3 linked regions of the Caenorhabditis elegans genome follow. The protein of the gene in region 2 purifies or fractionates together with the protein of the main gene of each other region. This does not show direct contact. Each region holds a gene or a part of one and is shown on either strand. Other genes may lie near its edges.

Region 1 (7,050 bases), on a different chromosome or scaffold from region 2:
ACGTTTTCTGGAATTCAGTCAAAACGGCACCACGAGTGCGGTATTCGGCATTCGGCAAACGGCATAATGCTGGCTTTTGGAGCGCGACATATGTATGCCGTCATGCCGAAAAATCCCGAATGCCGCACAGGTCTGATTGACACCCAAACATCTCACGAGTTCTGTGCACCACAATGTTTAACGTGAGAGCGATTCACCAAGAACGGCGAACATTCTGCAAATTCGAGTATTTGCCGCCTATTATGAAATGGTGCCGATTTCAACTTCATTTCATAATACGGCCCGCAAAACGTGCGGGCCTAAAGTGTTGGTTTTGTACCTACATGCGTGTATTTAATTCGAGTGTAAGTAAACCAAGAAACTAACTGTGATCTTGAATCGATAAGCACGCCCAGTAATTATTTGAAAATGGAACGTTCATTGGTGGCAACATCATAATATTTTGCCCGGAGACCAGAGGGTTTGCACAGTAAATTGGATACGGAGGATTGTAAATTGGCTGATAAAATATTGATTTACTTTAGCCTGCATAAGGGGCTGTAATGAAGAGGAGTATATTGTATAGTGTCTTAGAAATGGTATTTTGCGTAGAAGTGACTCGAGATTGTCTGAGCTGGAGTCACGGCTGAGCGATTTGCTGTGCCGTAGTAAGTAATCCACGTTGAGAAAGATAATTAATTTCTTTGTGGAAATCCCGAATCACGGAAAACATTTTACTAAACAAAAATAAAGTTTCTAAACAAACTTACATTATCGAAATTCTCATCTTGCCCAGCATCAAAAACTCCATTTGTTTTGGATGTTAAATTATAGAGTGCCCTGGATTGAGTTCCGCCTGATGGACTAGCGGAAGAAACCGCATGAACAATTCCGTGATGTTGTCGAACAAGTGCCACAGTGCCACAGATATGTCCGACTCATTTGAGTAACGTTTTGAAAGTATTATGCAAAACGATCCGCAGACGGGTATTTGGTCACTTGTGTAGAATTCCTTTAAGTTTACAAATGTTCACTGATTCAATAACGGAACAAAACATACGTCAATCATTCTAAACGAGTCGCTTCCAGTTGTGGTGTCACCGAATCCCAAACTTGAATCGGGAAGATGTGAGTACAAATATGAAGTGGCACTTCTGAAGTTCATAGTTTGCTGGCGACGCCTTTACGGCTACTTTCAATCTGTGCTGCCCGCCTTTTCCTGCTGACCATCTGAAAATTTATAAATGATTTATGTTCCTGTTTTTAATGGAAAAAAACGAATTTTCTCGATTTTTATCGATTTTTTCATACAAAAGTTCCAAAAAAAAAAATTTTGACAACTTTTTCAGAAGTCTGGTTATGAAAATAAGGTGCAATTAGCATTGACACAGCTTTTTTATTATGTTTGGAAAAAAGTTTGGGGTTTTTTTTTTTCATTTGGGATCTGATTTTATCGAATTTTCTCGATTTTCATCGATTTTTTCATACAAAAGTTCCAAAAAAAATTTTTTGACAACTTTTTCAGAAGTCTGGTTATGAAAATAATGTGCAATTAGCATTGACACAGCTTTTTTATTATGTTTGGAAAAAAGTTTGGGTTTTTTTTTGGTTTAATCGATAATACTTACTGTGTGACCTTCCGCAGCTACTAGTCGACCCAAAAATTCTTTCTTTCACGTGAAAATCGTTTCAAAATCTGTAAAATGTATTTATTTGTTAGTTTTAATGAGAAAAAACGGTGAAAATTGAAGAAAAACTGAAGAAAACAAGCGGAAAACAATGCAATATAAATTGCCGCTGAAACTTGTCGGAGACTCGGCCATGGCCTAGAAACCTTTTTGCCTCGTCCCTCGTTCGAAAAAAGTCGCAGTGGAATGGTGACAAATCGCCGCTGCGGCCAAGGCAAGATTTCATCGCGTCGAGACCCATCGAACACTAAAGGCGATGCGCCTTTAAGCTGGCGGTACGATACTCGCTCCGCTTTCTTGGGGAAAACATATAATTGTTATGAAAATGAATAATGATAATCTTTATTCCAAATGGCTCAACACGAAAATTGATGCCGACTTTCTTTAAAAGTTTTTGTGCACATATTTTGCATACATGAAAATGTTTATTCTATTAATATACACGGGGTTCCGGCCTTCCTCAATGGATTTTTCGCGCTCCATTGACAATCGCTCGCCGGACAACGCATGGGAAAGTGGTGCACTCCACTCGGACAAATGCATTTAGTTTTACAACTAAAATCGAGCCGCAACGCGCCGTAAATCTACCCCAGATATGGCCGAACCAAAATGGCCTAGTTCGACAAACTCTTCCATTTCAATTTATGAGGGAAGCCAGAAATCCGTGCAATATTTTGCCAGCAGTTTTCTACAACTTGTCGGCGGTGTTTGAAAACGTTTACTATATTGACAAAAGTTCGTCAGTTTTGCCGTTTTTGACAATTTCCGACAACTTTCGTCAACTTTCGACAATTATCAGTAACTTTCCACAATTTTCGATAGCTTCAGCCAACTTTCTGCACTTTTTCGACGCGACTTCCTTTATTATTTTTCACAATCAAGAGTTTAGAGTAAAGTGGAGAAAATGGGGAATTTTAAATTTAAAAAAACGAAAATTTTTGGAGGGCGGTGTGGTTTGAGATATCATCAATAGGGAGACCCATTCAGTGAACAAAATATGGACAATTTTATGGGGAAAAATGAGCAAAAGGGCTCAGGAGGAATCACACAATATTCACAAAAAAATATTCGTTGAAAAAATATGGAAAGTGGGAAAAATAGAGGGAAAATGGGATTTTTCGAGCAAAAAATTGGAAATCTTCACAGGAAAAATCGGAAAAAAAAATTTCTTAGCAAAAAATCGGAGAAAATTTTGATTTTTTCACTCAAAAACCAGCAAGAAATCAGGGAAATATCGGGGAAAATTAGGATTTTTAGCAGAAAAATGAGAAAAAGGTCGAAAAAATGGGAAATTAATCGATATTTAGACGCCGATTGAGTGCACTGACGTAGGCTTGATGAATCTGTGAAACGAATTCGTCGTCGGTTTGCATTAGGTGGGCGATTGCTGAGATGAACTGAAAAAATTTGAATTTTAGGGGGTTTTCGGTGATTTTTAACGATTTTTCACAAAAATCTGAGATTTTTAGATAAATTTCGCTTTTTTCCGGAAATTTTACCGCTTTTTTATAATTTTTAGGAAAAAACGGTACTTTTTTTAAAAGAGATTTCAATACCTAAGCTAGACTAAGCCTAAGCCTATGCCTATGCCTAAGCCTAAGTTTAAGGTTAGGCCTACGCCTACGCCTAAGCCCAAGGCTAAATCTAAAGGACAAGACTAAGCTTGAGCCTAGGCCTATGCCTAAGCCTGAGCCTCAGCATAAGCCTAAGCCTAATCCTAAGCCGAAGCAGAAGCCTAAGCCTGAGCCTGAACCTAGGTCTAGGCCTGAGCCTAAGCCTGGGCCTAAAATTTTCAGCTTAAGTATCGTAATTTCATGTTGAAAAACAAATAAAGTCGATTTCAAGCTTAAAAATTGCTCATTTTCACTGAGAAAGCAGATTTTTAGCTGGAAAACCTGAATTTTCCGTTAAAAAACTGATTTTTCGCATTTTTTAGCTCCAATTTCGAGCAAAAATGGGATTTTTGACAAAATTTTTCAACTAAAATAAAGATTTTTCATGTAAATTTTCGAGATTTCTCGTGAAAAATCAGTTTTTAATTGATTTTATCTAAAAAATCTGAGCTTTTCACTCAAAAAAAAAACGTTTTTCCAGCTCCAACCTGTTCTTTATTGAGAACAGGCGTCTGTTCACCACTTCCAACGACAAATGAAGCATCAAGTGGCTCTAAAATCTCTCCTTCAGCAATATCCGACTCCACATCACCCTCCGATCCATGCAAAGGCTTCGTCGAGACCGCCGCCAACGAAATCGCCGACGTTGAGTTAGTAAATTCTTGCAAAAGATGATTCCGATGCGGTTTTGCCGACTTTATAAGATCCTTCTCGAGCTCATCGGCCGACATTGCTGCTCCCGGCTCTTTGAGCATCAGCTTCTGGAGCATTGGCGGCATTTGTTCGATCGTTGCCGCAGATTTTTGCGGCGGATTTTGCGCACTTTTTATGAGCTGGAGAAGATCCACTTTTGGTGGGGCTTGAGGAGCCATTTGTGGAGCTTGAGCTGGAGCTGCTGGAGCCTGCGTTGGAGCCGGAACCGAAGCCTGTGGAGCCTCCGAGGCGGCCTTGGCGGCCCGAGCCTGCTCCGTAGTGCTTCCTTTCAGACGATTCACGAGTTTTTGCAACAAATTGTAGATTTTCTGAGCATCATCAATCTGGTGGAACCATAGTGCTTGAATTGAGGCCAAATCCTTGTAAAAGTAGATGAAATTTCCGTCGTGGCGGAGAATATGGTTGAGGGTGAGCGGCTCGATGAAATCCGATGGATCGTTGCGATTTGCGATGAGGAAACTGAAATAAATAAGTTTAAAATTGATTATTTTAGCTATTTTTGCATGTTTTCTTGCTTCTTCTCACCTAAAATATGGCCGATCAGCTCTCTGATAGACGAAAAATGTTCCTTCGCAATTCGACTGATTCCACTCTTTTCTCGCCGCATCGATATGATAAATCGCGGCAAATGGCATCTACAAAACCAATTTTTAGCTTTAAAATCCACAATTCTCTATGTTAAACCTTGTCGAGAATCTTGCTGGCGGCGATGTCGATTTTCTGGAGTTGTGCGAGGTTTTTCGCGGCTAGCTCGGCGGCGGCCTTTTTTTTAGCGTCGCTCATACTGGTTCCTGGATGAAAATGTTGAGTTTTCGATGAAAAATGATGAGAAAAGTGCAAAAAATCTGCGGAAATCGGTGAAAATCGCGAAAAAAACAAAGAAAGACAGAATTTAAATTGAAATTCTATGGTGTAGATTTACGGTAAACAGGGCGCGCTGCGGGATTTTGGAGTATCGTTGTAATTGTAAACTGAATTTTTAAAGCAAAAAATTTGTTTCTTAAACGAAAAAATCAGATAAAAATGCAAAATAATTCATTTAAACCGAGAAAATCAAATAAAAACATCAATAAATCAAATCTAAACAATCAAAGCGTCAATCTTCTTAGCCCACAACTCCACATTGTTCGGAAGGTGCTCCCCAAGGTTCAGAAGGCTTCTGAACACAATATCAGCGACACACACCTCCCATTGAGAGCTTAACGAGTCGAAACGAGCCAGGAACTGAGAAGCTTCACGTGTGACAAAGCTCTGATCACAGGAGCCGGCAAGGATTTGCTCGGCCTGAAAGAAAATTTGATTTTTTTGGGAAAGTTTCTAAAATTTCCTACTTTTCCCAGCCAAATCGCTTGATGACTGGCGCTGAGCACTTGTTGTGGCCGTCTAGAGAAGAGCCCGAGTGAAGAGCCCAACAGCTTCCAGATAGTTTGAAGGGATTTGACGGTAGTTTTTTCCAATTGCAGGGAGGGAGCAGGGCCTGAAAATATTGAAAATTAAGGGTATATCATAAAATTCTGATTTTTAGAGAAAAAATCCCGCACCTTTCACAACTTTCAGACTGGATTTCTTCTCTTTCGTCTGATTTTTGACTTCTCCCTCAAACGAGACTCCACGGCTTGCGCCGACCTTTGCGAGAGCCCGAGCCCACGGCAAATCCACGTCCCGCACTGTCAGCGTGGCGTTTTTCAGCTGCTCCTGCGGCTCGTAGGCCACAAGGGAGGTTGGGAGATTCACGGTGAGAGTCAGATTGGTCTCCCACGTCTTTCGGTCGTCCTGGACGGTCCATGGAGTCGAATTTACGGTCTTTTTCGCGGATTTCTGTGGTGGAGCCTCTCCGGAAGCCAATTTCTTTACGGCTTCTGCCTTGGCAGCCTTGCGAGCCTCCTTCTTGGCGTCCTTGTCTAGTTTTGCGGGGGCTCCGGGGACTCCGGGAGCTGAAGAGGCTGCTCCAGCGGATTTCTCAGGCTCTTTTGGCGCTTTTTCCGCAGGTTTTTGAGCAGATCTCTCTGCTTTTCCAGCCTCTCCAAGGCTTACCAGCAACTTCTTGAGCTCTTCGGTCTGTGCTTTGAGCTGCTCGATCAGTGAGAGCTGTTTGTGCTCCAAAGCCTTGCGCGGATCGGATTCTACCTGAAATTTCAGTTTTTTTTGAGCCAAAATCCGTCTATTACCTGCACCGCATCAGAAGGCCCGACTCCTCCGAAAGATGGATTATGATACGAACCTACTGGATAGCAGGCGATTTTCGGATGAACCTCAAAATTCGGTGGGAACGTCGGTGTCAGCTTGTACATTGGCATCGCGTGATTTACCCTGGAAAATCCTATTTTATACGAAATCTTGAGATTTTTGAGATTTTCAGAGCAATCGAGAGATTGTAAGATGGAATTTCGAGAATCTAAAATTTTTCAGAAGCGTTAAAGGCACCAAAAAACATGAAATATGCTTGAAAAACTGGGAAAACCATCAAATTTCTGGAAAAAAAATTTAGAGTTTAAAACAACGATGCTCCGAATTAACAAGTGCGTGTTATTTATTTTTAGTGAATTTTTGGTATAAAATCAGCATTTTTACATGATTTATGTAATTTTTGCGGGAAATAGACGAAAAATTACCGGTTTTTACTGAATTTTGATATAAAATAGCTTGAAAACAGCTAAAAAACCCAAAAATCAGAAATAAAAGCAAATGTGGATTTACGATAAAGAAGGCGCACAACGTGATATCGGAGTGTCGTTGGGAGGAAAATTATTTATTTTAATTATATATTTTTTTTCTCATTTTCAAGCGATTTTTTAGCTTTTTCCAGTGGTTTTTTAATTCTATCTTTTGCATAAATTTATCGTAATCTCATATTCAGCGTTTTCCCACGAAATTCCTTCCTTTTTCAGCTCAAAACCAGAAATGCCGTTCATGCACGGGTCCATGCCGCTTCGGCGGACATTCTTCTATCTCCAGCAGGGAAAAGTGAAGCTTCGCGACAACGTCAACGTGTTCTCGATGGGTTTTCATAAAAATCCGACGCCCGAGCAGTCTGGAGCACGAGATTTCGTCTACTG
Region 2 (6,892 bases):
TTGTTTCCAACATAAATTTTTACTTACCACTGGAGTTTGCTCGAAGATGAATACTTTTTTCGCGCCACCATTGTCGTGTCCCCGTGTGAATCTTATCGGAGTGATTGGCTCGCCGTTCTGAGATTTCGGAGCACGAAGGGTGTAATTAGCTTCTTCCAGCTCTTCCTCTTCTTTTCGCCTTCTTTCAGCCTCAGCTTCAGCATCTCGTCGTTGTTTTTCTTCTTCTAATCTTCTCTCACGTTCCTTTGTTTGCTGTTCTTCACGCTCACGTCTGTTCCTTTCTTTCTCGTTTTCGGAATTTTTCTGGCATCCTCCAGTTAGCTCGGTTTCATCTGCCAACGTAACAATTGGTTCTGTTCTAGTTCTAATTGGTTCTTTTGGAGCCTGTTGGATAGGGCGAAGTGCGCTTCTTTGGTTGGCTGACATGCAGGAATAGATAAGGTCGGCCCAATTTTCAGGAATTCCATTTGAAAATTCATCAATAATTCTACTAGGCATTCCCATTTTTTGTTGATATTCCCGATCAATCTGTCCGACCAAGTCGAAGAAACGTCCGGAAACATCGAAAAGCAACGTAGAAGTGAAGCGTCTCTGAATATTTAATGAAAATTGTTGACGAATATGTTTCTCGACTTACACAAATAAATTCGGAACAAACTTTCTGCATCATAGTGCCTTCTTCATTTCTCACAAAACCTTCGAGTTTGAAACTGGTCGCGTTAAACTGTAAAAATATTGAAATCATGAAAACTTAAAAAAACTAGACAGTTACCTTCATGGACCACAAGTTGAGACGAATGATTTCGCTATCAAGTACATTTTGTACTCGAAGAGGAACAATTTCCGTATCACCCATTAGGCATAAAATACCGTTTATTGGAAGAAAAACAGAAATCGGAATGAGATGTCTCTCTGATTTGAATGCAACGCCTTGGCGGCAAGTGCAACGGAGCGTGTTTGCCTGGAGTCGTTGCAAAATAAAAACTGGGGAATACTTTAATTGCTCAAGAATTAGTTAGAAAAAAAATGGTAATAGCTTGAATATTTGGCTTTGAGTAGTATAAACGGTTTATTTATAGTTTTATAAAATAATTGTTCCAAAAAATCTCTAATTACACTGCTTGAGATAATGAGATATCAGTGAATCTGTGTTCCATGATTTTTACATTAATTTTATCCGCAAGGTGTCACCATTGAACATATTTGAAACAATATTCTTCGAAGCCATTCTCAATATTTAATTTGTTTTTAAAGAGCTTTATAATGAAAATAAATGAAAAATATCGACAATTCATGCTTTTATTAATTTTTCCAAGTCTACTCACTTAAATCACATTTTTCTCCATGATCATCGATCGATATGATTGTTTTCTCCGTATTACAATTGTTTGTTCCTACGATTTTGCCCTAGATTCTGCAAAAGCATTAGTCATTCACAATTCTCTATGTCCGCTCACCGCCCGTCCATTCTAAAGTGGGCGATGATGATTTCGCAATACTCTTTCTCTTCCTATGAACAAACATTCTTTCTTCAATATATTCTTACTGCCATTCTTACAATCCTAAGTGTTGATCGGTCGATAGCCATTCCGATTCCTACTCAAGCTAAAGTCAAGTTGTTCTCACAATCATTCAATAATTCTACATATATGTACATAGCTTCGGGAATTATTTATTCCATACTTTTCCAGCTAAATTGAAGGTTAAAAAGTATACCATAAAAACATATCGATTCCAGGATCAAATTATTCCATGCAGCATGGAATGTGAAAAAACTTCAGATGATTCTGAAAAGTCATAATTTTCGATTCGTTAATTAATTTCGTTAATATGAAGTTAATTCTAAATAGGTGGGAAAAAACTATTATTCAAATTTTCATGAACAGATTAGCTTGAAGTTTTGTGAAAAGGTTTTAATATTAATTTTCGCAATAATTTTGTTTTAAACTCAGAATGATTCATGCCGCTTGAACTTTTTCTTTTCATTTTTTGTTGAACCTTCTCCCACCGGAAACATAAAAACACATGATCCAACTACCACCACTAAGCTGTCAACACTTTGCCCTTTGCTTTCGCCAAGCTCTTGTGAAGCAGCTCATGTCTTTTTTCTTTTTCATCCTTCCAACAACGCGCGCTCTCTCTCTCTTTCTCCGTCTCTATTCCTTTTCTCGTTGTCTCGGTTCCATCGATCTCCCATTCAACATACGGCCGAGGCGCCCTCTCTTGTCTGTATCTCTGGTCTCTCTATCATCTAGAGAATGAGTCCTTTTCTTTCTCCACCATCTCATCAAATTAAACGTCTATTTCGGGGGTTTTGTCTATCTAGTAGAGGTCCAACCACACTAGCCTTCAAAAATTTCACCACGCCCAATGCCCTCCACCACTGAGAATTGACCCTTGTCAACAACCTTGTCTTCTGAATTTTTGATGACAGAGGCAACGGCTTCTTTTGATTTTTGAAGTTTTGAGATTGCGACTTCCTTTTCATCATTGACTCATTTTTTTCGATAATCAAAAATTATACACTACGAGGGAGCGATGTTCTCTTTAATTTTTTTTTGCTGTAGCTTCTTTTAATTTTCAAAACAATTTATCAAAACATAGCTTTCTGAAATCACCCTGAAATTTCAGCTGAAACTTATTATTTGAAAAAATATTAGAAATGTATTTTTTAACTTCAAAAAATCTAGCACATTTTGATATTCACCTATCATAATTATGAGTTAGTGTTCCTATTGTTTTTATATCAATTAATATGTTCATTTCTGTTCCTAAAATATTTCATCACAAATTATTGAAAAATCACAGTTTCTTGAACATGTCGTTCACATTTTATTCCTTATCACTTCACACATCTCATGCCATCTGATAACGTACTTTGCATTACAAAATTGCAAAGTTCACCATTCAATTTCAAATAAAAAGCACTTTCGATCAATAAACGTCCACCTGTACCCGTTTTAGATTCGCTTCCTTTCCAAATAACAATTATAATGATCTCTTTGTGTTTTCGTGACCCGCAGAGGAAGCCAGCAGCTGCTGTTCACCTTTTCCCGAGAATTTCCCAGAAACAGCTAATCGATGTGATTTGCGCATGCACGCGTTAATAGCTCCGTTCAAATTTTTTTTTGTTATAATGGAAACAACAATTAACTATTTTGTCCTGTTTTTTCTTTGACAACATTTTATGACAAAAACCTAATTTTGGAAAACTAGAAAAAAATTAGAAAGTTCTTCCAAATATCTTCCAATTGTCAACTCTTGATAACTTCTTCGAAATCTCAAAGTGTTCGTTCTATTTGCCATGACTCAAGTGCTTTTCTCTTACTTTTGTGCAACTTTAGTTCTCAACTTTTTCTCATTTCAGAAGAAAAATGGCTCGCCGACCGTATGACATGCTCTTCAAATTGCTGCTAATAGGCGACTCAGGAGTTGGAAAAACTTGCATTCTGTACAGATTTTCGGATGATGCCTTTAACACCACATTCATCTCAACTATTGGTTAGTTTTTATTCAGAATCTAGTGATTTCAAAATAATTTTCTTTTTTCATTCAGGAATCGACTTCAAAATTAAAACTATCGAATTAAAAGGAAAAAAGATTAAATTACAAATCTGGGACACAGCTGGACAAGAACGATTCCACACAATCACAACATCATATTACCGCGGAGCAATGGGAATTATGCTGGTTTACGATATCACAAATGCGAAAAGTTTTGACAATATTGCAAAGTGGTTGCGCAATATTGACGAACATGCATCGGAAGATGTTGTTAAAATGATATTGGGAAATAAATGTGATATGAGTGATAGACGAGTTGTGAGCAGAGAACGAGGAGAGAAGATCGCACAAGATCATGGTATTAGGTACGTTTTGGGAGATTAAAAAGGATTAAAAAATAAAAAAATATATATATATAATCTCAAACAATTTTTATTTTCAGCTTCCACGAGACTTCAGCTAAATTGAATGTTCACGTCGATACAGCGTTTTACGATTTAGCAGAAGCAATTCTGGCTAAGGTAAAGTTTTAAAATGTTTTTAAAAATTAAAATTAAGGATGTGAAAATTCGAAATATATTAGTACATTCTTTGCACGGGCGAATATATGTTCTGATAGTATTGAAATCGACGAAAATGTGATAATTAGATTGCTAAATGCATTAGAATCTGATTTTTTCTTGTGAAATTGTTCGTAATTAGTTGAAAAATCTAAGAGCCTTTTTATTTTTGTCCTCATTACTCTTCTAGTACAAAATATGAAGAGCGAAACTTCTTCGTTTTTAATCATGCAAAAAATTTTAATCGCTTCGTCAAAAATTGCACCAGAATAATCTAAATTAGTTTCATTAATACGATTGTTTTTTTTTCATAATTTGTTTTTATTTTCAGATGCCTGATTCCACTGACGAGCAATCCCGCGATACGGTGAATCCAGTGCAACCACAGAGGCAGAGTAGCAGTGGAGGATGCTGCTAGATTCATGTTTTTCCCTCTTACTTCTCTATTCTCCAATTTGGTTTTGTAAATGTTTCATCCGGGTATTCATGAATTTGAATGTCAATACATCTTTTTTGCTTCTTCTTCTTTCCCCCTCATTTTTTTTCGAATTTTTGCCTCACATTCTTCCCTTCTAGGAAACATTTTCTCCATTTCCACTTACCTGTTCTAACTAATGATCGTTTAAATATGTTCTCCATTTCTTTCAATTTCCCTCCCCCTTTTACTTTTCTTACAAATCTTCTCGTGCGCAGAGACTTAATAAAATAAATTGCTCTTCTTCCACATGCTAACTAGCCATCTTTACCTTCATTGCTTACTCTTGTATAATTGACATGTCCTCCCCCTCCCCCCGAAAACCGGTCACTTGTTGAATATCCAACGAGGTCACTCTAACCAACTTCAGGATTATGACAGATGACACCGTTCAACGCAATGCTTTTCAAAATTATCTACCTAGTAGTACTACCTATTTCTTACTGTACGGAGTTATGTACATTCAACGAAGGAACCTGTGAATGGGATATCAGACCTCCGTGGAATGTTGTCTCGTTGGCAATTCTTCCACGTCATCAGCATCCTGGACTACTAAATATTTCAAAGACACCCGATGTTATCACTTCTGGTGAGAAATTAAATGTATTTTCTAATGTCTTCTAGACTACATCTCGTGTATAGCATGTTCACTATTAAATCGAAATGACTAAATACATTGGCCGATCGGAGAACCTGAAATTTAGCTTCAATGGTTAATTTATTATTTGCACAAAGATTCACAACAATCATCTACTATCTCAAAACAGGTTTTATACGGTAGATCGCAATGTGCTCATCACCACGATTTCTTGCCGCGATTTTACTATAGTCACATAGATTCAAGCAGTCTAGTAGACCCTCACGGATGATGTCACATGTTAAAAAAGTTACCGACATTTTTAAAGATCATGTTCTACGGAATGTACCACGTCGGCCGTTTTTCTCATTGAGACTACGGTAGAATCGCGATTTATTCGAATCGTGGCGAGATATCAGTTACAGTTATCTGTACTTTTACAATTTTCTTTTCAGTTTTAGTTATAGTTTTTCTAAACATGTACTCGAATTGGGGCAAAAGTACTAAATATATATATTTGAAAATCTACAATTTTGTACAATCATCAATGTTTTAGGTCAATCTTTTGGCAAAATGCCGAAATTTGGAATCTTAAATATCCGCTTCTGTACTCGTAATTTTCGTGTAGTAACAATGAAAACATTGAGAAAGTAATTTAGTATACTGAAACCATTTACTTCAAGTTTTGAAAAATCTAGGAAGGTCACCAAGTGTGTCCTTTGAAACTTGCGCACTCTAACATAAATGGGGAATTTTAAAGTCGCTCGTTTTTCAGAAGGACCATTCCTACTTGCACAAGGAAAGTTCGCATCAGTGCCCTCGTCAAGAGTTACTTCTCAGAAAATCTCAAAATCAGATCATATGAGAATACTTGCATATCGGTATCAACGTCGTGGAATGGCGACTTTGAGGGTATTTTCCCATTTTAGTTTGAAATTTATGAAAACTCTTACTTATAATTTCAGATTCTTTTAAAAAACCAAACAGACGAGATCTTACTTGATACCATATCCTCAAATGAGATAGAAAGAATCAAATGGCATCGTCGAAGTGTCATTTTTCCTCCAATTCCAGATTATAATCAAACAAGTGTTATATTTGAATGTGATAATATTCAAACTGCTGAAGATATCATTGCTGTCGATGAAATTGACGTGGCAACACCTGCAAATGTTATGTGGGCGGGACAAGATTCCAAGTTTTTTGATGAAGAAGATATACGAAGAAGAGAAATTCGGAGAAGTTCAAGTAAGTTGATATTGTAGACAATATTCGGATCCCTAAAACGTTTTTTTCGTTCTTTCCTTGTTTTTTACTAATGCGAATAATATTCTACAAAAATCCCAAGGACCATCTCTATAACTTTTAAAAATTCAGAATTATCAAATGTATGTACTCCAATCTCTTGTCATTTTCGTTCTTCAATTTGTTCCTGGCAATCAACGAATATTCAACTTCTTCCATCTAAAATTGTGAATGAAGCAGCTGGTGAATCAACTTTGACATCTTCTCCAGTTCGTTTACCAATTGATGCACCATCTTTCATTCAATTACAAATGTTTAATAGTCAAGGATCTGTGACTTCTTTATCATTTCGAAATATTGGTTCAATGAATGAAAAAGTGATATGGACTGAAAAAGAGGATTCATCAATTCCCGATTCAACTGGAACTCAAAATGGATGGAATCGAGTTTTAATTTCATTGGAATCAGTTCCAAAAGGAATTCCAGTAATTCTAATTCTTAAATCTATAACTGGTGCAAACGATTTTGTGG
Region 3 (10,309 bases), 6.4 Mb from region 2:
TTGAAAATTTTTGTACGTTTTTGTGAAACAAATTGTAAGCAGGTTTATTATGGTGAAATTTAAAAATCAGTTGAATTTTGTAATTTTCTGGCAAAATTTTCAAAAAAAAAGTCGGATTTTGTCACTTGGTCTAGAAAAAAGAAAAGTCAGCCTTGGATTTATCGAAAATTTTCAGAAATTTCCGTTTCAATTAAAAAAATTAATTGGAAAAGATGAAAATTAACAGTCGAACTTGTAAATTTAAGTAAATTATATAATATTAAACGAAATATTAGAAGTTTTATTAAGTAATTAAACGCCTAAACATTAAGGCTCAGACTACAAACTACACAATTTCTGAGCCTCAACCAATATCTAAATGAAAAAGAACATAATGAAATGGTTCAAAAGAGTGCAAAATGTGGAATCCACGTGTATTTCACACACACACACACACACACGTTTCAATCGAAATTCTTCTCTTGTATGAATAGAGAGAGAGAAAGAGACGACGAGAGAGTGTGCCGAGCGCAGAGACCGCAGACAGTGTAGTGGAAACTGCGCTCTATTTCTTTTTTAGCACACACTCGTACACTTCCAATAACCAACCAGTCATTTAGCAAATATTTGGAAGAAAAAAAACTCGTGGAAATTTGGATTTTTAAAGATTTTCAAAGGTTTTTTTTTTGGAGTTTGTAGTCGAATTTTTCTACGTGGCCGTGAAAATGGAAACCTCGGCCATGAATTTTTTTCTTGAAAAAAACCAATTTTTTGTACTTTTTAAAGAAAATTGCAAGAAAATGTATAACTTTTCACAATAACTCGCTTAAAAAAATAAAGAATTTGAAAAAAATGTAAATTTATTGAAAAATTCGTAAAAATTATTAAATATTAACCAGACGTAAAAAATTGTGATTTTCGCCCCAAAAATACGGTATCCGGTCTCGACACGACAGTTTTTGTTAAATACGAAAAGGTGTGCGCCTTTAAAGAGTACTGTAACTTCAAACTTTTGTTTCTATGCAATTGTTATCGATTTTTCTGTCTTTCTTTCGGTAAATTGTTTAAGTTTAAGTGTTTTTATTGTAATATTTGAGTTTTAAATATGCTTTTACCAAAAAAAAAACCGAAAAATCGATGAAAACTCCGCAGCAACACAAGTTTGAAACTACAGTATCCTTTAAAGGCGCACACCTGTTCGTATTCGACAAAAAATTGTCGTGTCGAGACCCGGTACCGTATTTTTTGCGCAAAAATAGCAAAATTTCATAAAAATCCCGGTTTTCGAAAAAAAAATCGTCGATTTCGCTCTGAAAATCTAAAATTTAAAAAAATTTCCAATTTTCAAAAACTAAAAAAACTTTCATTTTAAAGCCAATTCCAAGCGGAAAAAAAAAGTAATTTTCGTAGTTTGTAGTCACAAAGACTACAAACTACAAAACCACCACAGCCTCACCATTTATGTTCAGTAGCAATGTATAGTAAATTTCAGCGCCAGCGGTTCAAAATGAAAAATATTAACAAGGAAGCTTCTCGTCTCTTCAAAGGCGCATCGGACAAATAAATGACTGTTTAATGTCCAAAGAAGAGGCATTATTCGGAGATGCGCGCGCGGGGGGATGATCATTATCTCGAAAATCTTCAGAAAAATCGATCCACTTTTATTTCCAGGAAAAAAAATGAAAATAAAATGAGAGAGAGAGAGAGAGACGGAGAGAATTTGGATGGTGTGTGAAATTTCAGTTGGTGGTGGTGGTAGAGTGGGGAAAAATAAAATATTTTTAAAATGTAATGAATTGGGGGGACAAATACTATATTTCCAAAAAATATATAAAAAATTTCCACAAAAACAGGGACATTGGCGTTGTGGGGAGACACTTACAGAGCAAAAAAAAGAAAAGAAAAAAAGACAGAAAATATGGGGGAGAGAGAGAGCAGTTTTCAATTCATTTTTGGCTAGAAATTTCTTTAGAGGAGAGCGTGGGAACACAAAATCGGGATTACAAAAGAAAACGGCGGCGGAGGGGGAGGAAATGTACAGAAGTCGCGGATTTTTTCAGGCCTTTGGGCCTAGATGAAGTCCTAAAAAATTGGGCCTCAAAAATTAGGCCAAAGGTTTAAAAAACCCAAAATTTTTGGCCTAAAACCCAATTTTCAGCCAAAATTTCAGGAACCTTGAAAACCTAATTTTTAGCCAAATTTTCACAGAAAAATCCAGGGGGGAGCCAGGTGGGGTAAAAAAAAAAGAGTAAAAATTCAAGTTTTTCGAGACAAAAAAGCTTGAGGGGACAATAAAATAAAATAAAAGAAGAGCAGCAGACAATCGAGTTGGGGGGAAATGCTTCTACAACACAGTTGCTATGGAGACGATACGGGCGATGGAGGGGGGTGGGGGGGGGAGGGCTCAAAAGAAAAAATAATAATTTTTTTCTTAATGATGATAGGTATGGAGAGAGAGAGAGACAGAGAGAGAGGAGAGGATGGATGTATAAAATCAATGGAAAAGAAAAATCCCACGGAAAATGAAAAAAAAAGAAACATTCGAGAGAAAATTCAGAACCAATATTAAAATAAAAAAAAGAAGTTTAAGCCGATGGGCCAGCCACATCACCGCTTGTCGTTGAAACTTCACCAGTTCCCATTGGACCGTCCATCTCAAGTGTTGGAAGAGGTCGACCAGATGGAAGACGTGCATCCGGGTTTCGGAGCTCATCAAAGAATGCGTGCTGGCAGGCCTGAAAAAGACGAAAAACATATATATATTGGTTGAATTGTTAAAGTAGCGTGAATTGGGGGCGATTTTGTCTCTCAAAAATTTCAAAATACAGTCTCAAATTCAGAAAAACGAGCAAAATCGATATTTTTGTCCATTGTGAGTTCCAAATTCCCCATGTTTGAATCCACGTGGAGTCAGAAAGTCCCATTTTGATTTGATCTACGAAAAATGCGGGAGATGAGACGCAAACATCTCAACTGATTTCACATGGTTAAAAGCGTGCAGACGTTACAATTTTTCTGGGAAAAAATTCCCGCATTTTTTGTAGATCAAAACGCAGACAATTCCCTCCAAAATGCAAACTCCCCAATCGATCAATCAACGACATCGAACTCCGCCCACTTCATCTGATTGGTTGAAAAGTGGGCAGGACGAATCGCTGATTGGTCGGGAAGTTCTCGTTTTGGAGGAAATTCAAAATGGAAATTTAAAATATACTAGTTAGTCACAATAGGGAAAATCGTGTTTTCGAAAGTTGAATTGTTCATTTTTCTCGATTTTGCTCGTTTTTTGTGGTTTTTCTAAATTTAAAAGTGTTTTCAAGCCAATTTTCTAATTTTCAACCATCATACCACGTAAATGTCTCCATCTTTAAAATTACGAGAACATCATAATTTTCTGGAAATCTCATTTGTAGTATGGCCTCTAATATTCTTGCAGTTGACATTTAGTTACTAGTTTCAAAAAATAAAAGTACGGATAAATTGTGAGCCGAGTTTTTTACTGCTCACTGCTTGTCAGCGAGTTCTATAAAAATTCCAAGAAACATTTCTTTCCAAGTTTTAGCTGAAATTTTGTTAAATTCAAGTTGAAATTTCAGTGGGATTTTCAATTTTTATGTCTATTTCAGATTTCACTAACTTTGAATTTATAGCTTTTTTTTCAAAATTAAAAACCACGGTTTCACAAGTTATCTTTTTCCAAAAATTGGAAAAAAAAGCCAAAATTCTGCAATTTTTTTTGTGTAAAAATCTAATGCTCCCATCTGCTTCCATAAATATCTTCCATATTCGTGCCAATTTGAGAAATCTAAGAAAAAAAACCGGGAAATGGCTTGATCTATGGGAGAATTACAATGAGGAAACAAAGATTTCAACGATAGATATTAAGGCGATTTTCAAAAGCAACCAACGAACGGGGTGGACTTTCTAAGCGGTTTTGTGAGGGGGCGATCGAATTTGTGAACAATGAAGATACTTTTTTTTGGAAAAATACAGATAAAATCATTGAATTTCGTTTCAAACTGGCTGCTTTTTTTTTGAGCGATCGAAAATCTGCAAAATCTGCAATTTTCAAAATGGAGGAAAAATAAGCTGACCGAATGGCCGAAATTTTTTAAATAAATTTTCAGTCAACTGTCTAATGTCTCAAAAATCACACTCAACTTTCTCTTTTTTTTTCATTCATATTACGGGAACCGAAAATTCTGAGAAGAATGCGTATTACACATCATAATTGACGCGCAAAATATCTCATTGCGAAAACTACAGTAACCCTTTAAATGGGTACTATAGCTCCGTGTGGCGATTTACGGGATTGATTTTCGATATGAATCTATTCTATATTTTCCTTCGTTTCTTCGTATTATTGTCTCATTTTTTGATTAATAAATGCAGAATAAAAATCGAGCCCGTAAATCGACACAAGCGCAGCGCTACAGTAGTCCTTTAAAAGGTTACTGTAGTTTTCGCTACGATATATTTTGCGCATCGAATATGTTTTTTTAAGGATTTTGTGTTCCATAATAACTTTTGTGAGCAAAAATTCGCATTTTTTGAGAATAAAATTACAGAACATTCGCTTTCAAAACCGAAAAACAAAAAAAAAGTCCATTTTTAGACAATTTCAATAATTTTTTGACACAATTTTAATATAAGTTTTGTTTTTCCATTTTCAAGTGTTTTTAAACGTTAAAAACTACCGGAAATCAGTTTTTGACATTTTTTGTGCAATTTTCGCCATTTTAATTATCTCGATAAAAAGTCGAAAAATTCAAACTTCCATTAATTTTTAGAGATTTTTCTCATAAAATTGTAAAATAGCCAAAATGATTAAAATTCCTGAATTTCGCAGTATTTTTTAAACTTTTGGGCAATTTTCTCAAGTTTTCAATGACAAAAAATCAATTTTTTTCAATTTAAAAGGTTTTTAGTTGAAAAAAGAGTCGATTTTCAGCAATTTAGTGTTGGGAAAACATTTTTAATTCATTTTTCGGCCTTTTTTCTACAAAAACCCCCAAAAAACTCACCGCTTGAGGTGTTGGCCGAGACGTCGGCGTATACTCGATAATCTTCGAAATGAGATCAATCGCTTCAGCAGGCGTGTGTACACGGAATACCTTATTCCATGGATGTGCCTTTATCTGTGGAAATTTGAATTCCTTGTAGTTCGGATTCATACTTTGAATTTGTTCACGAGTCGGTGTTCCAAGAACTTTAATAATTTCAACGAGTTGATCAACTCCAGAGTCACCAGGGAAAATTGGTTGGCCGAGAAGAAGCTCTGCCATTACAGTTCCAGCCGACCAAACGTCAATCGAGTTCGTGTAGTTTGTAGCGCCGAAAATGAGCTCCGGAGCACGATAATATCGCGAGCAAATGTACGAGACGTTTGGCTCATTGCGAACCAAATATTTGGCAGATCCAAAATCACAGAGCTTAAGCACTCCGCTTTCCGGGTCAATGAGCAAATTCTGAGGCTTAATGTCACGGTGACAGATTCCAATGCTATGAATGTAGGCCAATGAACGGAGAAGCTGATACATGTACAATTTGACATAAATCATTGGAATTTGTTGTCGCTGCTTCGAATAGTGCCGGGCAACTCTGCAAAAATTAAAAATTTCAAATAAATTTCGCAAAACATCAAGTTTTTTTGTTTAAAAATCGATTTTTCTAAATTTTTTCAATTTTTACATAATTTTTTCCATAAATTTTAGTCAAAAATTGTCAAAAAAAAATTTCTAGGTTTTCAACTTGAAAATTCAAAATTATAAAAAAATAGAATATTTTCAATTTTGTAAAGAATTTTGCAAAATTTCAAGTTTTTTTGTTTTAAAATCGTATTTTCTAAATTCCAAGCTATCAGCCATGTAGTTTGTAGCCTTTCTATACGTTTGGAACGCATTTTTGAACTTTTAAATAGCTTTTTACATAAATTTCAGGAGGAAATTCGTGAAATAGTGCATTTTAGTCAAAAATGTTGCAAAGAAATCTGCTTGAAATCGCCCTGTAGCGCTGGAATTCGGGAAAAATCAATTTTTATCTTAAAAAATCAAAATTTAGCGAAAAAATTCAATTTTCGAACCAAAATTTCACAAAATCGACGGAAAATCAAATTTCCATGAATTTTTGTCAGAAATTAACAAAAAAGGTTAAAAAAATCAGGCATTTTTTGATTATTTCCTTTAAAAATTTACATTAACATCATTTTTAAACAGTTTTTCACAAAAAAAAACATAAAAATTCAGCTTTTTATTGAATTTCTACTATTGTTTTTCAAAATTTTTAAAAATATCTTTAAAAAAGAAATTCGCAATTTTTATTTAAAAATTTCCAAAAAAATTTTTTTTTTCAATTTTTAAATAAGAAATTCTCTTTATTTTTGAACAAAAAAATTCCGCTAAAAACTGAAATTTTCCAGAAATTTTTAAAAATCCTAATAAAAATAACCTGTAGACAGTTTCAGGAACATATTCGAGAATCAAATTCAAGTAGAGTTCATCCTTCTTCTCGCCGCTCGAATAGAAAAAGTATTTGAGCTTCACGATATTTGGATGATTCAATTTTCGCATAATCTGTAGTTCACGATTCTTGAATCGTTTGTCCTGAAGAACTTTCTTGATTGCAACCATTTCATTTGTTGTAGAGAGTTTGGCAAGGAATACCACTCCGAATGATCCATTTCCAATCACTTTCTGATCGTAGTACGAGATTTCAACCTACAATACATTTTTTTTTAATTAAAATTTGAATTACAGTGTTTTTTTTCGTTTGGAGATTTTTTAATAATAATTTTTTCACATTTTATCAGCTAGTTTTCCAGCAAATTTCCTTTTTTTTTTTTTGAAGAAATTGATATTTTAAGTGCTTGAGTAAAATCGTGTACTCCACGAGGAAAAGGAGAACAATTTTGTCAACCTATTTATTACGTGTTTATCCACAGATGAGAAAAATCGCCATATCTGCCGCGCAAATGAACCCGCGGGAAGAGATAAAACTACTGTAGTTTTTAACCAATTTGTGTAGATTTACGAGCTATTGCGTCATCGTTGAATTTAATTTGCAGGCGTTTTTCTAATTTTTTTGTGTTTTCTTTTAAGATTTATTCAATAAATAGATAAATTTCAATATAAAAAAGAGTGAAACACGCCTGAAAATTAAAAATTGCGGCTCAAAATTAAATTCAACGATGACGCAATAGCTCGTAAATCTACACAAATTGGTTAAAAACTACAGTAGTTTTGTCTCTTCCCGCGGGTTCATTTGCGCGGCAGATATGGCGATTTTTCTTATCTGTGGATAAACACGTAATAACTCATTTATTGTGTTGTACTAAATATCGAAAAATATATTTGTATCACTTCCAAAGAGTTTTTTTTTGTGAAAATCCTCATTTTCATGCATTTCCACCAGAGGTGGGCGGATATTTTTTCGGATATTTTCTAATAATGAATTTATCAATAAGTATTGATGTAGTTATTCTGGAAGAAATGTATCCGAACAAAAGAGTAACTATTAAGCAATCGGATATTACGGATATTACGGATATCGGATAATGGACTTGCATATCGTTTATACAGAAAACTTGTAGAATTTTTTTAGGTTTTATCATATTAAAATGTTGCTTAATAGTTACTCTTTTGTTCGGATACATTTTTTCCAGAATAACTACATCAATACTTATTGATAAATTCATTATTAGAAAATATCCGAAAAAAATACCCGCCCACCTCTGATATCCAACTTCTTTTCATCCAAATTTCTCCGAGAAAATTAAAATTTCCTCACTCAAAACCAACCTGCTGATCAACACCATCCGTGGCGACTGACGCGACGACCATCGTCACTTGTTTTCCGCTTTTCAGCGAGCACGATAGTAACTGCTTATTCATCACACCACACTACTGATTGATTTGATTCTTGTGTGTGTGTGTGTATATATGAGCTCTGTCCAATAAATGAGAAGAGCCAGAGATTAGATGATGAGGATATGATGTGGTTTTTTGAGAGGGAAAACGGAGAGAATGAGGCTATTCACCTGAAAATAAAAAATAATAAAATATTTCATTTGGGCGTTGGGTTTGAAAAATACGAGGAAACGTATAAAAATGGGTGATATTTAAGGCAAATATGAGGTGAAATGGAGTAACATTTCAAAATTCGATAAACTTTTAGGAATTCCTAGCCAAAGTGGGAACAGGGGTGGGCGGCAAACGACTTTTTCTGGCAAATCGGTAAACCGGCCAATTTCCGACGAATCGGCAATTTGTCGAATTTGTAGGACTATTAAAGAGCTGTTAAATATGGATTTCGCCAAAAAACTTTACTGGAAATTAGACGATTTTTGGCATTTTCAGCCCATTTTTTTAGGATTCGCTTCAAAAAATCCAAAATAGTCGTAGGGGAGCTCTCATTTTGGAGGATATTCAAACTAGAATAGAATTTAGCCAAAAATTGAAAAAATCGAAGTTTTAAAAGTAGTATTTCTCAAAACTTCTAAAGTTTTTTCTAAAGCTTAATGTAATGTTATTAGCTCGAAAAAGTTGGCTAACTCACTGTAATAAAAGGGAAACGCCAAAACTGCCAAATTTTTAAATATAGAAATGAATTTTTTGAATTTTAAAATTAAAAAAAGGGAAGTAAAATCTAATCCGACACGTTTTAATGTACGTTTTTTTCAAAATAAATAAATACATATTCATTCGAAATTGAATTTTTCTAAATTTAGCGGCAATAAAAAATATATTTCTAGAAGAAACTATATTTTTGGTACTTATGGGTTTCGTTCCCCCCAAAATGATTTTTAATTATTCAACACTACCTTTTTAATTTTAATCCACACGTTATTGTTTATTTTAATACTGTTTTCATTTTTACAAGGCTTAGAAAATCATTTCCCTAAGCCTGGGAATGAAAAAAAAGTTCACGTATCAATTAGAAAATATGGAAATCATTTTGGGGGGAACGAAACCCATAAGTACCATATTTTTTGATTTGGAATTGATATAATTGCTATTTTCGTAAGTATTTCAAAATTCTGACTGAATCAAAATAAAATGCTTCAATTGCTCATCTTAAAATAGCATGTAAGCCCATTTTGCTACACAATTTCAAGAAATTTCACTAGCGCGATCGAAATAACCAGTTTAATAGGAAATTACTCATATTTTCAACGGAAAATGCTCAAAATCGCCAAAACTCACCGCTTCTCACTAACGATTGAACGAAAAATGACTAAATTTCGGTGTTGTTTTTTTTATTTTAAAAAACTAATCCAACACGTTTTAAAAATAAATAGAATTGCTTTTTATATAAATACAAAAATACATTTTATTTCAAAATTGATTTTTTCCAATTAAATTTCGTGGCAATAAAAAGGTACGTATTTTTTTAAAATGTTGTTCCTTGGGAAAAATCAAAAAAGATTTTGGCTAAACAGGATTCTATATTGATCGTAATAGGGAATATATAAATATATATACCGGAAAACTGGCAATTGTCGTTCGGAAAATTGTTTTCCGGGAAACTGCCGGTTTGCCAGTTTGCCGGAAATTTTCATGTTCGGCAAATTGCACAATGTCAATTTGCCGAACATCAATTTGCATATATGTATCTTTATATATATATATATATATAATATATATGTGTCAGTCAATATGAGGGGGTGGAAAAGAAGGAAAAACAGCTAAAATTGAGTGTGGTGAGCGAGTGAGCGCGAGCGCGTGTCTGATGGAGGAAATGGGCAAAAATATGGTGAGATGGAGAAGAAAAAGGAAATGAAAAAGAAAAAAGAAGAAGAAGAAATGCGCTATCAATGTGGAAATAAGCATATTCAATGTTCCCATGGTTTCTATTTTCATTCTATACTGATTTTATATTTATTTTTGTATCGGAAATGTTGAAATTCGGCAATGTCGGGAATGTCCAATTAAGGGTGGACGGAAATTTGGCAATTTTTTTTGCGAACTTGCCGGTTTGCGGATTTGCCGGAATTTTTCATTCTCGGTAATTTGCCGATTTGCCGTTTGCCGGAAATGTGCCGTTTTGAAATTTTTTCCCGTTTTCTTTAAGTATTTTCATAGAATTTGCTTACTGTTCAAAATAGATATAGGAACATTCACAGAATGGGAACAATTTTGCCGATTAAAATTTAAATTCTGAAATTTCCAAAAAAAATGTGCGAATCCGCAATTTTCCAAAAATTTTCGGCAATTGCCGTTTTTTCGGTACATCGGAAATTATCGGTAAATTGCCGGTTTGCCGATTTGCCAGAAATTTTCAATTCCGGCAATTTGCCGATTTGCCGGAAATTATATCGTATATTCGCAAATAA

Evidence for each region.
Region 1: the proteins of rab-10 (region 2) and dcap-1 fractionate together in Caenorhabditis elegans (co-fractionation; one large-scale study listed by BioGRID). This does not show direct contact.
Region 3: the proteins of rab-10 (region 2) and gsk-3 fractionate together in Caenorhabditis elegans (co-fractionation; one large-scale study listed by BioGRID). This does not show direct contact.

What each region holds. Positions count from the first base shown.
Region 1 is NC_003282.8:1,050,010-1,057,059, forward strand, and holds dcap-1 (mRNA-decapping enzyme 1), read right to left. Parts: upstream 4,786-7,050; 5' UTR 4,778-4,785; coding exon 4,679-4,777; intron 4,630-4,678; coding exon 4,520-4,629; intron 4,454-4,519; coding exon 3,769-4,453; intron 3,065-3,768; coding exon 2,960-3,064; 3' UTR 2,515-2,959; downstream 1-2,514. Other genes in the region: Y55F3AM.13 (FH2 domain-containing protein), read right to left, coding at 5,075-5,278, 5,326-5,471, 5,536-6,121, 6,163-6,291; mrps-25 (Small ribosomal subunit protein mS25), read left to right, coding at 6,896-7,050. UniProt on the Caenorhabditis elegans protein: Component of the decapping complex necessary for the degradation of mRNAs, both in normal mRNA turnover and in nonsense-mediated mRNA decay.
Region 2 is NC_003279.8:6,454,955-6,461,846, reverse strand, and holds rab-10 (Ras-related protein Rab-10), read left to right. Parts: upstream 1-3,367; 5' UTR 3,368-3,374; coding exon 3,375-3,501; intron 3,502-3,556; coding exon 3,557-3,869; intron 3,870-3,946; coding exon 3,947-4,025; intron 4,026-4,395; coding exon 4,396-4,482; 3' UTR 4,483-4,565; downstream 4,566-6,892. Other genes in the region: knl-2 (Kinetochore null protein 2), read right to left, coding at 28-591, 638-724, 773-856; mam-8 (MAM domain-containing protein), read left to right, coding at 4,921-5,128, 5,892-6,028, 6,082-6,364, 6,494-6,892. UniProt on the Caenorhabditis elegans protein: The small GTPases Rab are key regulators of intracellular membrane trafficking, from the formation of transport vesicles to their fusion with membranes.
Region 3 is NC_003279.8:12,816,921-12,827,229, reverse strand, and holds gsk-3 (Glycogen synthase kinase-3), read right to left. Parts: upstream 8,015-10,309; 5' UTR 7,869-8,014; coding exon 7,776-7,868; intron 6,696-7,775; coding exon 6,427-6,695; intron 5,581-6,426; coding exon 5,004-5,580; intron 3,112-5,003; exon of another isoform or gene 3,058-3,111; intron 2,715-3,057; coding exon 2,565-2,714; 3' UTR 1,628-2,564; downstream 1-1,627. Other genes in the region: nhx-8 (Sodium/hydrogen exchanger), read right to left, coding at 1,436-1,438.